2 linked regions of the Caenorhabditis elegans genome follow. The protein of the gene in region 2 interacts with the protein of the main gene of each other region in a pairwise test. Each region holds a gene or a part of one and is shown on either strand. Other genes may lie near its edges.

Evidence for each region.
Region 1: the proteins of hpo-39 (region 2) and C50F4.1 interact in a two-hybrid assay, tested with the Caenorhabditis elegans proteins (one large-scale study listed by BioGRID).

Annotation. Positions count from the first base shown.
Region 1 is NC_003283.11:9,525,046-9,529,972, reverse strand, and holds C50F4.1 (CHK kinase-like domain-containing protein), read right to left. Parts: upstream 3,181-4,927; 5' UTR 3,129-3,180; coding exon 3,027-3,128; intron 2,164-3,026; coding exon 1,543-2,163; intron 1,454-1,542; coding exon 1,364-1,453; intron 1,295-1,363; coding exon 1,185-1,294; intron 1,004-1,184; coding exon 838-1,003; 3' UTR 723-837; downstream 1-722.
Region 2 is NC_003283.11:4,572,527-4,575,825, forward strand, and holds hpo-39 (uncharacterized protein), read right to left. Parts: upstream 1,399-3,299; coding exon 607-1,398; downstream 1-606. Other genes in the region: Y61A9LA.3 (C2H2-type domain-containing protein), read left to right, coding at 2,139-2,462.

The sequences.
Region 1 (4,927 bases), 5.0 Mb from region 2:
CAAAGAAATGTGCGAATTTATGGTGTGATATTTTTCTATCATTAATTTCTTGATCAACTGCCAAAAGATGTTTGGATACAAACATCTCTTCAAAATCTGCTATAGATGTACCAAGTGCTGAAACTCTTCATCTGAAACTTTCGGATGCTGCATTTTTTGTTCTATTTTCAACATATTTTCAATATAATTATTTACAATATTATTTACAATAAGCATTTTATTGTAAACCGTACGCTGAGTAGCCCCAAGTTTCTAAAACATATATCAGATCTTGAATAACGAGATGTCTGACAACTGATGATTCATGAACTACCCACATAACATTATCTCCTCCCGCCTGACCTAACTGTCCTGTTAACAAACTTTCGTTCCTATTTATTCTTCTTGTTTCTATCCCTCTTATTCAGTGTATTGTATTTATGATCTATTATGTGTACATTTTTCTTTTTTCTTCAACTTTTTCCACGTCTCTTCGCGAGCGTAAATAAATAAATTAAGTAATTAATATCTATTTACAATATAATTTATAAATAGTATATTGCTATTTATATATTGTAATATGAACATCTTCTTACATAATTTAATTTGAAAGAAATGTTCTGATTTTCTCGAAGACACCCAATCCCTTTTTTAAGCAAGCTTCAAGTGTTTTCTCACACGTCATACATTTATTATTTTGTCGTCCGTATATCTACGTTGTCAAGAGATGCATCTTTCCGTTCTTGTATTGAAGATTTATTCATTCGTCACCAAGAAAAAACGACCAATCTTTATTTTTGAATTCGGTCATTTATTCTCGATTCTTTGAAAAAAAAAGCAAATACGTTATCTTATTCTTCAATCATCATTCTCTTTTTGTGAGAGAAATGGGTGCTCATTATCCGAAATGTAGTTTCCAGTCAAGAAATCTACAGTATCATTCAACGCTGTCTCCCATCGACGTGCAGCATCTTGTTTGACGTCATCCGAACCTTCACTCAGTGTAAAAAGTAGAGACTCGATTCTGGAAATGATTAGAAATTTTATTTAATGGGACTAGTGTTCTGAAAATTTGGGGCAACCTAAAATGCCTTGAAAAATTATTTTCTTGAAAATCCGGTAAAACACTATTTTATAAAAAATATCAAAAGTACGACAACTTTTTGGTCTTTTAAAACATTTGAAAATTTGAAACCTAAACTCACCCATTGATTAGAACTGTAGGTTGATATTCCTGGAACCATCTTTTCAAATCATGCAGTTGATACTTTGGTGGGTAATAGTCAACAAGTGCATAAAAATAGACTTGAAATATCTAAAATTAAAACAAATTACATCAAAAACATCTGGTGCTCTGCCGTTCCCATAAGACTCTCGAACCCACTTTCATGAACTTTTTTCGTCGAATGTCGACATCTGCAGATGAAACAATCAAATTTGCTAAATCCTCCACTGGATTTCCAAGATGAATGTTCTAAATTAATTAGGTTTTCGTTGTTGAAAGATCAAAAGTAAAAATTATAGTAGAACGCAGTTTTTTCTATTTTAAAAATAATTACGTACTTCCCATTCTGTGATCTCTACCAAATTCCCATCCTCATCAAATCTGCAAATCTCAGCTGTCAATCTTCCATGTGCGATAACATTATGTTTTTCCTTTTCATCTGCATCTTCATCTTTCCAATCTTCCAAGTAATGAGTCAAAATTCCAACTTTTTCAATAACTGAGGATGGATTCATGAAGTAGTCTGCAACTTCTGTAGTAGTTACTGCTGTTTCCAACACTTCAATCAATTCTTTTTGAATTTTCTTTTTGAATGATATGATGTTTCCATAATTTTCTTGCACATTGAGTGAGAATTGTTTATTGATAGTTTTTGAGTTGACAGCGTGTAACTTTGCAATCTGTGAGGCAACTTGTTCCAATTCTGGTAATCCCAATTTGGTACGAACACTTCCTTTCTTCAAAAATTGAGTAACATAGACAGAATGTTTGTTTTCATCTTCCGTCACAACAAACGATCGATTAAAATGTGCACTTGGAATAGGAATCTTCTCAAACGTTGATATCTCATGCCAGAAAAGTGAATTGTAGTAGGCGGCAAGCTTGCTTCCTTCCTCTAGTTTCACTATAACATCTTGATCATCTCTCACCAAATGCACTCGGAAGAGGCCCTCCGCTGTCTAAAACCAGAAAACGATGATATTCTAGAAGGGCGGGAGAAAGAAATTGGCCTCATTCAAAGGTCATTCAGTATCACATTTTGGCACATTTCTTTCGAATTTGGAACAATTTCGTAGAAAGTTTAAATCTAATCCTAATACTATACTTCCAATATTTTAATTATTTTTTTTTGTTTCAACCGTATTGAGTTCAATTTTGAAAAACTTGTTTATTTAACAATATTTCCGTTTTCTTATCAGTAAAACAGGCAGTTAAAAATTTCCACAAAAAACGTCATTAGAAAATGAAACGACTTGAACGAAATTTCCTTATAACCGGAATAATCTTTGTGCTCATTTAACTCCCAATATAATACACTCCATCCAAAAACACAAACATGAAGTATTAATTTTAAAGAGGTAATATGGAATTAAAAAACATGAAAGCTTTGTACGAAGACAAAACATTGGAAAGTAATTCGTACTAGCACCTTTAAAAGTGAAGTTCAAAGATAATTTCACAAGCAACATTTTCGAAAATTTTTGAAATTAAACATTAAAAATTGTCTAAAAATATCTTAATCTAGCGTTGACGGTTTTTTCTAATCGTTGAAAATAATAGTCAGATTAAGAGAGTCGACAATGTAACGTATACGATTTTGGCATCATATTTGCAATATTTAAAAAATTTGCAAAATCCTTTTAAAATTTGAGCCATTAAAAAAACTAACAGTAATAGGAGTTACAATAATTTTATAGTACTTGATATCTGTAGTACATTTAAATTTTGAGTTAAAAGTTTTTGAGATTTTTGCAATGCCCTCAAATAGTTCCTATTGGTTTAATATATGAGTTTTCAACTATGAACTAATTTATAAAGTTACCTCTAACTCCACGGTTGTGACACCATTGATAGTGACAGTAGGATTAAGTTCTTTAACTCGAGACAATCCAAGTTCCTTTGCAATTAATGCAGTGATGAACATAATAACTTCTCTGTGAATCAACCAACAATGCCAACACTGATATGTCCTTCTTCTGAAAATGCAAAGAAAAAAGGGAGGAGAGGGAGCAGGTGGACGAGGTCTTGTTATCAGTGATAAAAAATGCGGGAGAAAAAAGCGAAGAGAATCGAAACTAATGACACTGTCCCGTTTATGACTTTGATGATGGGCGACGACAATACTTGCATATTTTGTGTTTCGTAGAGCAAATAACATTTGCAAACACATTTTATAGCAATGAAAAAGAAGAGGGAGTGAGTCACGAGCTGAAATTTTGAACGAAGATCATAGGTGGTAGGTACTTTGCTAATGTGGTAACCATTTGAAACTGATATTTATCCGAAAATTATGAAGTGGGCGGCACAATTCTGGACGTAGGATATCGGATATCAAACTAGTGGGTGGCTGAAATGAAGACGAATTTAAAATTTAAAGTTCACGTTCGAAGACATATAGGACATCTGCCAAGTTGGCACTACATGTATCACATTAAGTTTTCAGAAAAATTGCGATATTTTCTCTCTAGGCTTGCTTCATGTAATCGAGTTTGAAATCTTCTTTCATATTTGTTTCTGGTTTCAATCTTACTGGCTAATATTATTATCAAATCAGTAATAATTTGGCGAATTTTGAGCTAGGTTTATATTCAATTTATACTGGAATAATTATTTTGAATCGTAATGTTGTTTGTGTAACGGTTTGTAAGCTTATAATTTGGAAAATCCTTGAAATTTTTCGTTGGGTAAATCCGCGCTAATTTTTTACCCCGCGCAAAAAAGTTCAAAAGTTCAGAATTGAGGCCTTTCCATTTTACATGTGATTTCCTAAACTCTAAAAATAATTCCAAAATTAATTTTAAGGAAATTTGAAAACAATAACCTCAGGACACATTTAAATTATTGTTTTCATCCGTATAGAATTGAAAAAAATCATTTTCATAAATACCTATTTTCGAATTAACGTTTTGTTTTCGTGCGTACTTTAATGTTCTTTCAATAGCCCATTTCATCCTTGCTCCGGTTGAGTTGACGAACGCCTTCAAAATGAGCCATAATTGAGAGCATTACTTTTTGATGCATTTTATTTTCCATTAAATGTTGTTTCTCTTTTTGTTGCGTTGTGCAGAACAATAAAAATACAAAACAATAATTTAACTTTCGATCCAATTAAAATTATTTTTTTTAGAAAACCAAAAATATTGATTCGATATAACGCTGTCTTAAAAAAAAATCTTATGAACAAAAACTTCATCTGAATTTCTTTTTCGTATTGTTTTGTTAAGAAACTGAAAAAAAGTTGTTTTTTTCCAAATCGAGGCAACTCTTGTTTTATCAATATCAGTTCATAATCTCTTCCCTTTTGTAAGTGGTAAATAAGAGTTTCTGTTTGTTTTATAGTATTAAATCACTCATAAATTGATACTAAGTAATCTTCCTTTAAAACTATTTTTGATGCCGCATTGAATATTTTTTATTCTGAATATTTCAGAAAAAAAGTTGCCATCTAAAAATATATCTAGTATTTTTAGGAACTTTAAGAAGTGCGACTTTGAAATGTGAATGATTTCAGACTTATCATGAAAAAGTGCTTAACTCGGTAGAATTTCCAGCCTGTTAATCAAAAAGTCACGCATCATTTGACCCATCCGATTGTTTGATTTTAGCCACTCCCTTTCTAGCATTTTAAAAATGCTTCATGACACTCAACTGACTCAATACGTCAACCCATTTCCTTCTCCTCCCACTCAACAAGTCAAAACAATTTTTGTGCATCACGAACAA
Region 2 (3,299 bases):
AAAAAGTAAAATAAAAAAGATGTGTGGACAGATAAATAAAATGACCAATTGGACCAGCTATAGCCCGGGAGGTCAAGTTGGGGGGAAGAGGGTGTCAAATGGGATAGAGCCTAGGCGCGACGCAAATGCATTTGGAGTTAACAGTTTAGGGAAACGTTTTGCTATTCGGTTCCACAACGACAAGTTAACATGTAGAAAACATTTAGACGGGACGCCACAGACAACAAGTAGATAGGGGTGACGAGTAGAGCGTGAAGCTCGAACGAACGATGATAAGGACGGGAAGTGATACTCGCTTGAAATAATTTTATGGAAGGTTCGGAGGATTTGAAGAACCCGTCTATGGTGGGTAGACAATAAATTAAATTGGGAAAGCCTGCTACTGTATGACGCGTACGATAAATTACACCTTTGAAAGACACACTTTGAGAAGCAATGGACGGACAAGACGATAATAAAGCCCGGTGGCCGTTTACCTATGCGTTAGCAACGGGAGCAGCCGAATCAACAGAGATAGGAAGTGGACGCGGTGACGAGAGAGTCACAATCTTAAGGTCGCGCACATAATAACGAATCTCGCCAGCTTGGGTATTTCTGTTATAAGCGTCAGCTCTCAACTCTCTCAGGATAGATAACATCGTTGGTCATATCGCGTCTGCAGCGGATGGGTCTTGGAAGGTTAGTGGGGCGATCAGGCAACGAACGGAGAGTTTTGGAGAAAGAGAAAATGAACGAATTGCGGTCGGCTTCAGAAGAGAAACGAATTTTTGTTGGGCGGGATAAGACTGGTTTGCGAGTTTTGACGCGGAAAGTTTGAATATGTACAGGGAGGGAGGGATTAGCGGCAATTAAATTATCGAGAAAAACCTTATCCTTGGCGGATTGTGAATCCGAGCCATCATCCGGTAGATTTTCAATCACGGCGAAATGAGTCTTCTTCTCAAACAGGGAAATGCTGGCTGCTGCTTCACGTCTTTCTGCAATGATCTCTGCTTTCTTCTCGGCTGATTGTCCCTTGAGAACATCGGCGAACAGGCGTGGAGCGGGCAAATTGGAGGTAACACGGGCAGAGCATTCGTTCGTGAGCTTGGCAACAACTACCTTGAGCTGCTCGACGGTTTGGAAGAGTTCCGATTGTTTGCTCTCCAGGGCACGACATCTGCTTTCAGCGGCGGTACGGAAGGTTCTCAAGCTCGAATTTTCCTTTTCCAATTCTTCAACACGGGTAGTGAGCAATTCAAGAGCGGTCGGGCGACCGCGCTTCCGGGTTTGCTGTTGTTTCTCCGGCGGAGAACTCGTACCGTGAGCGTCCTCCGGGAGATAAGGACCAGAGAAAGCGAAGAAATCCGTCTTCACCATAGGCACTGGGGCGGAATGAGGAGGAGGTGGTTCCGACATGACCAATGACCTGCAGCAGTTGACCGGCGTACCTCAAACTCAAACTTGGGTAATTAAACCAAATATTTTTTGCAGATGCTAAAACAATTTCCAAGTCAAAAAATTATGTATTCAGTCGGCAAGCAGCGGTGAAAGTGGTCAATGTAAAATGATGGATTACGGGAATACAAAACCTAAACTTTTTCTGAAACATTATACATATGCTGTTTAGATGCTGAAACTACCTGATTTTCATAACGAGACCGCTGAAAAAGTTTTGAGGTTTCCACAATTCAACTTTTTTGGTGAAAAAGTCGAGATTTTCGCACAAAAAGTTGAATTTTGAAAACCTCAAAACTTTTTCAGCGGTCTCGTTATGAAAATCAGGTAATTTCAGCATCTAAGCATCATATGTATCATGTTTCAGAAAAAGTTTAGGTTTTGTATTCCCGTAATCCATCATTTTACATTGACCACTTTCACCGCTGCTTGCCCACTGAATACATTTTTTTTATTGACTTGGAAATCGTTTTGGCATCTGCAAAAAATATTTGGTTATCAGTTTTAATAAGAAAAAACGGGAAAAAGCTGTGAAAGACGAAAGAAAACAGGCGGAAAACAAAGCAAGATAAATGGCCGCTGAAACTTGTCGGCCCCTCGGCCATGGCCTAGAAACCACTTTTCCTCGTCCCTCGTGAGGAAAAAGTTGCAGTGCCATTTTCAAATGTTTTGAAAACGAGATAATTTTATAATTTTTGCAGCAAGATCTGTCCGTGATGATCGTAGAAGAGACAAGCCACGCCAAAGACGATCCTCTCGATCCCGATCTCGTGACAGAGGTGACAAGGATCATCGAAAACCAGCAGCTTCTCGACGTAGTGATCGAGAATCAACATATCGTGAACGTCTCGGATCGTCTTCAGGCCCCGCGGCGGCTCCAGATATTATTCGAGATGGAATGGTGTGGGCCAACGATAATTATTTCGAATTTTTGAGTTTTTATATCGAAGTGCTCAACGAGAAGCTTCGTAGTTCTGTTGATAGAGATGTGAAAGGAATTCGAGAGATTCGAGAAGTTATTACTCGTGAGTTTTGAGATTTTCTGCAGGTTTTTTGGACAAAAAAAATCAGATTCGGCTCAAAAATCGGAAAAAAAAATGTATCAAAAATATTGAATTCCTCATGAAAAATACCCATTTTGGATTTTTTTTTTGTTGATTTTTTGGGTTTTCTCAACAAAAAAATCGGAAAATCGAATTTCGGTCGTTTTAAACAGTTTTTTTTGCTTAATTTAGGGCTTCCAGTGGATTGAGATTATAGAACATCAAAAAGATATGATTTTTTAATTTTCCTATTTTTATTTTTTAAAAATTGATTTTTTTTTTCGAAAAATTTTGTCAATTTTTCAACTTTTTAGAACTTTCTAAAAGTTATTTCAAAACAATTTATCCGAAAATCCAAAAATCATCGTTTTCCAATATATCGATTTTTCAATAATTTCTAATTAGAATCCAAAGTTTTTTGACGACACCCTTGATTTGGATCCAAAATCTGCATAATTCAACAAAATAAACTTTTTTTTAAATTTTGAGTGGAGTAGCGTAAATGGAGTAGAAATAGCCCGAAATTCAGAGATACCGCAAAAAAAATATTTAAATATCGCGAAAAAATGAAAAATTTCGTCCAAAATGAGTATTCCCCGACCAATCAGCATCTTCAAACTCCGCCCACTCGATCTGATTGGTTCAATAGTGGGCGGAGCGAATCGCTGATTGGTTTTGCAGTTCTCGTGTTGGGAGAGAATCAAAATTTAGTCAAAATTGAAAAATCGAGTTTTTAAGAATTGAATTTTCCATTTTTCGCCATTATTTTGTGCTCCGTCGTGCAGTGCAGGGATGGGCGGAAAACAATTTTCGGCAAAT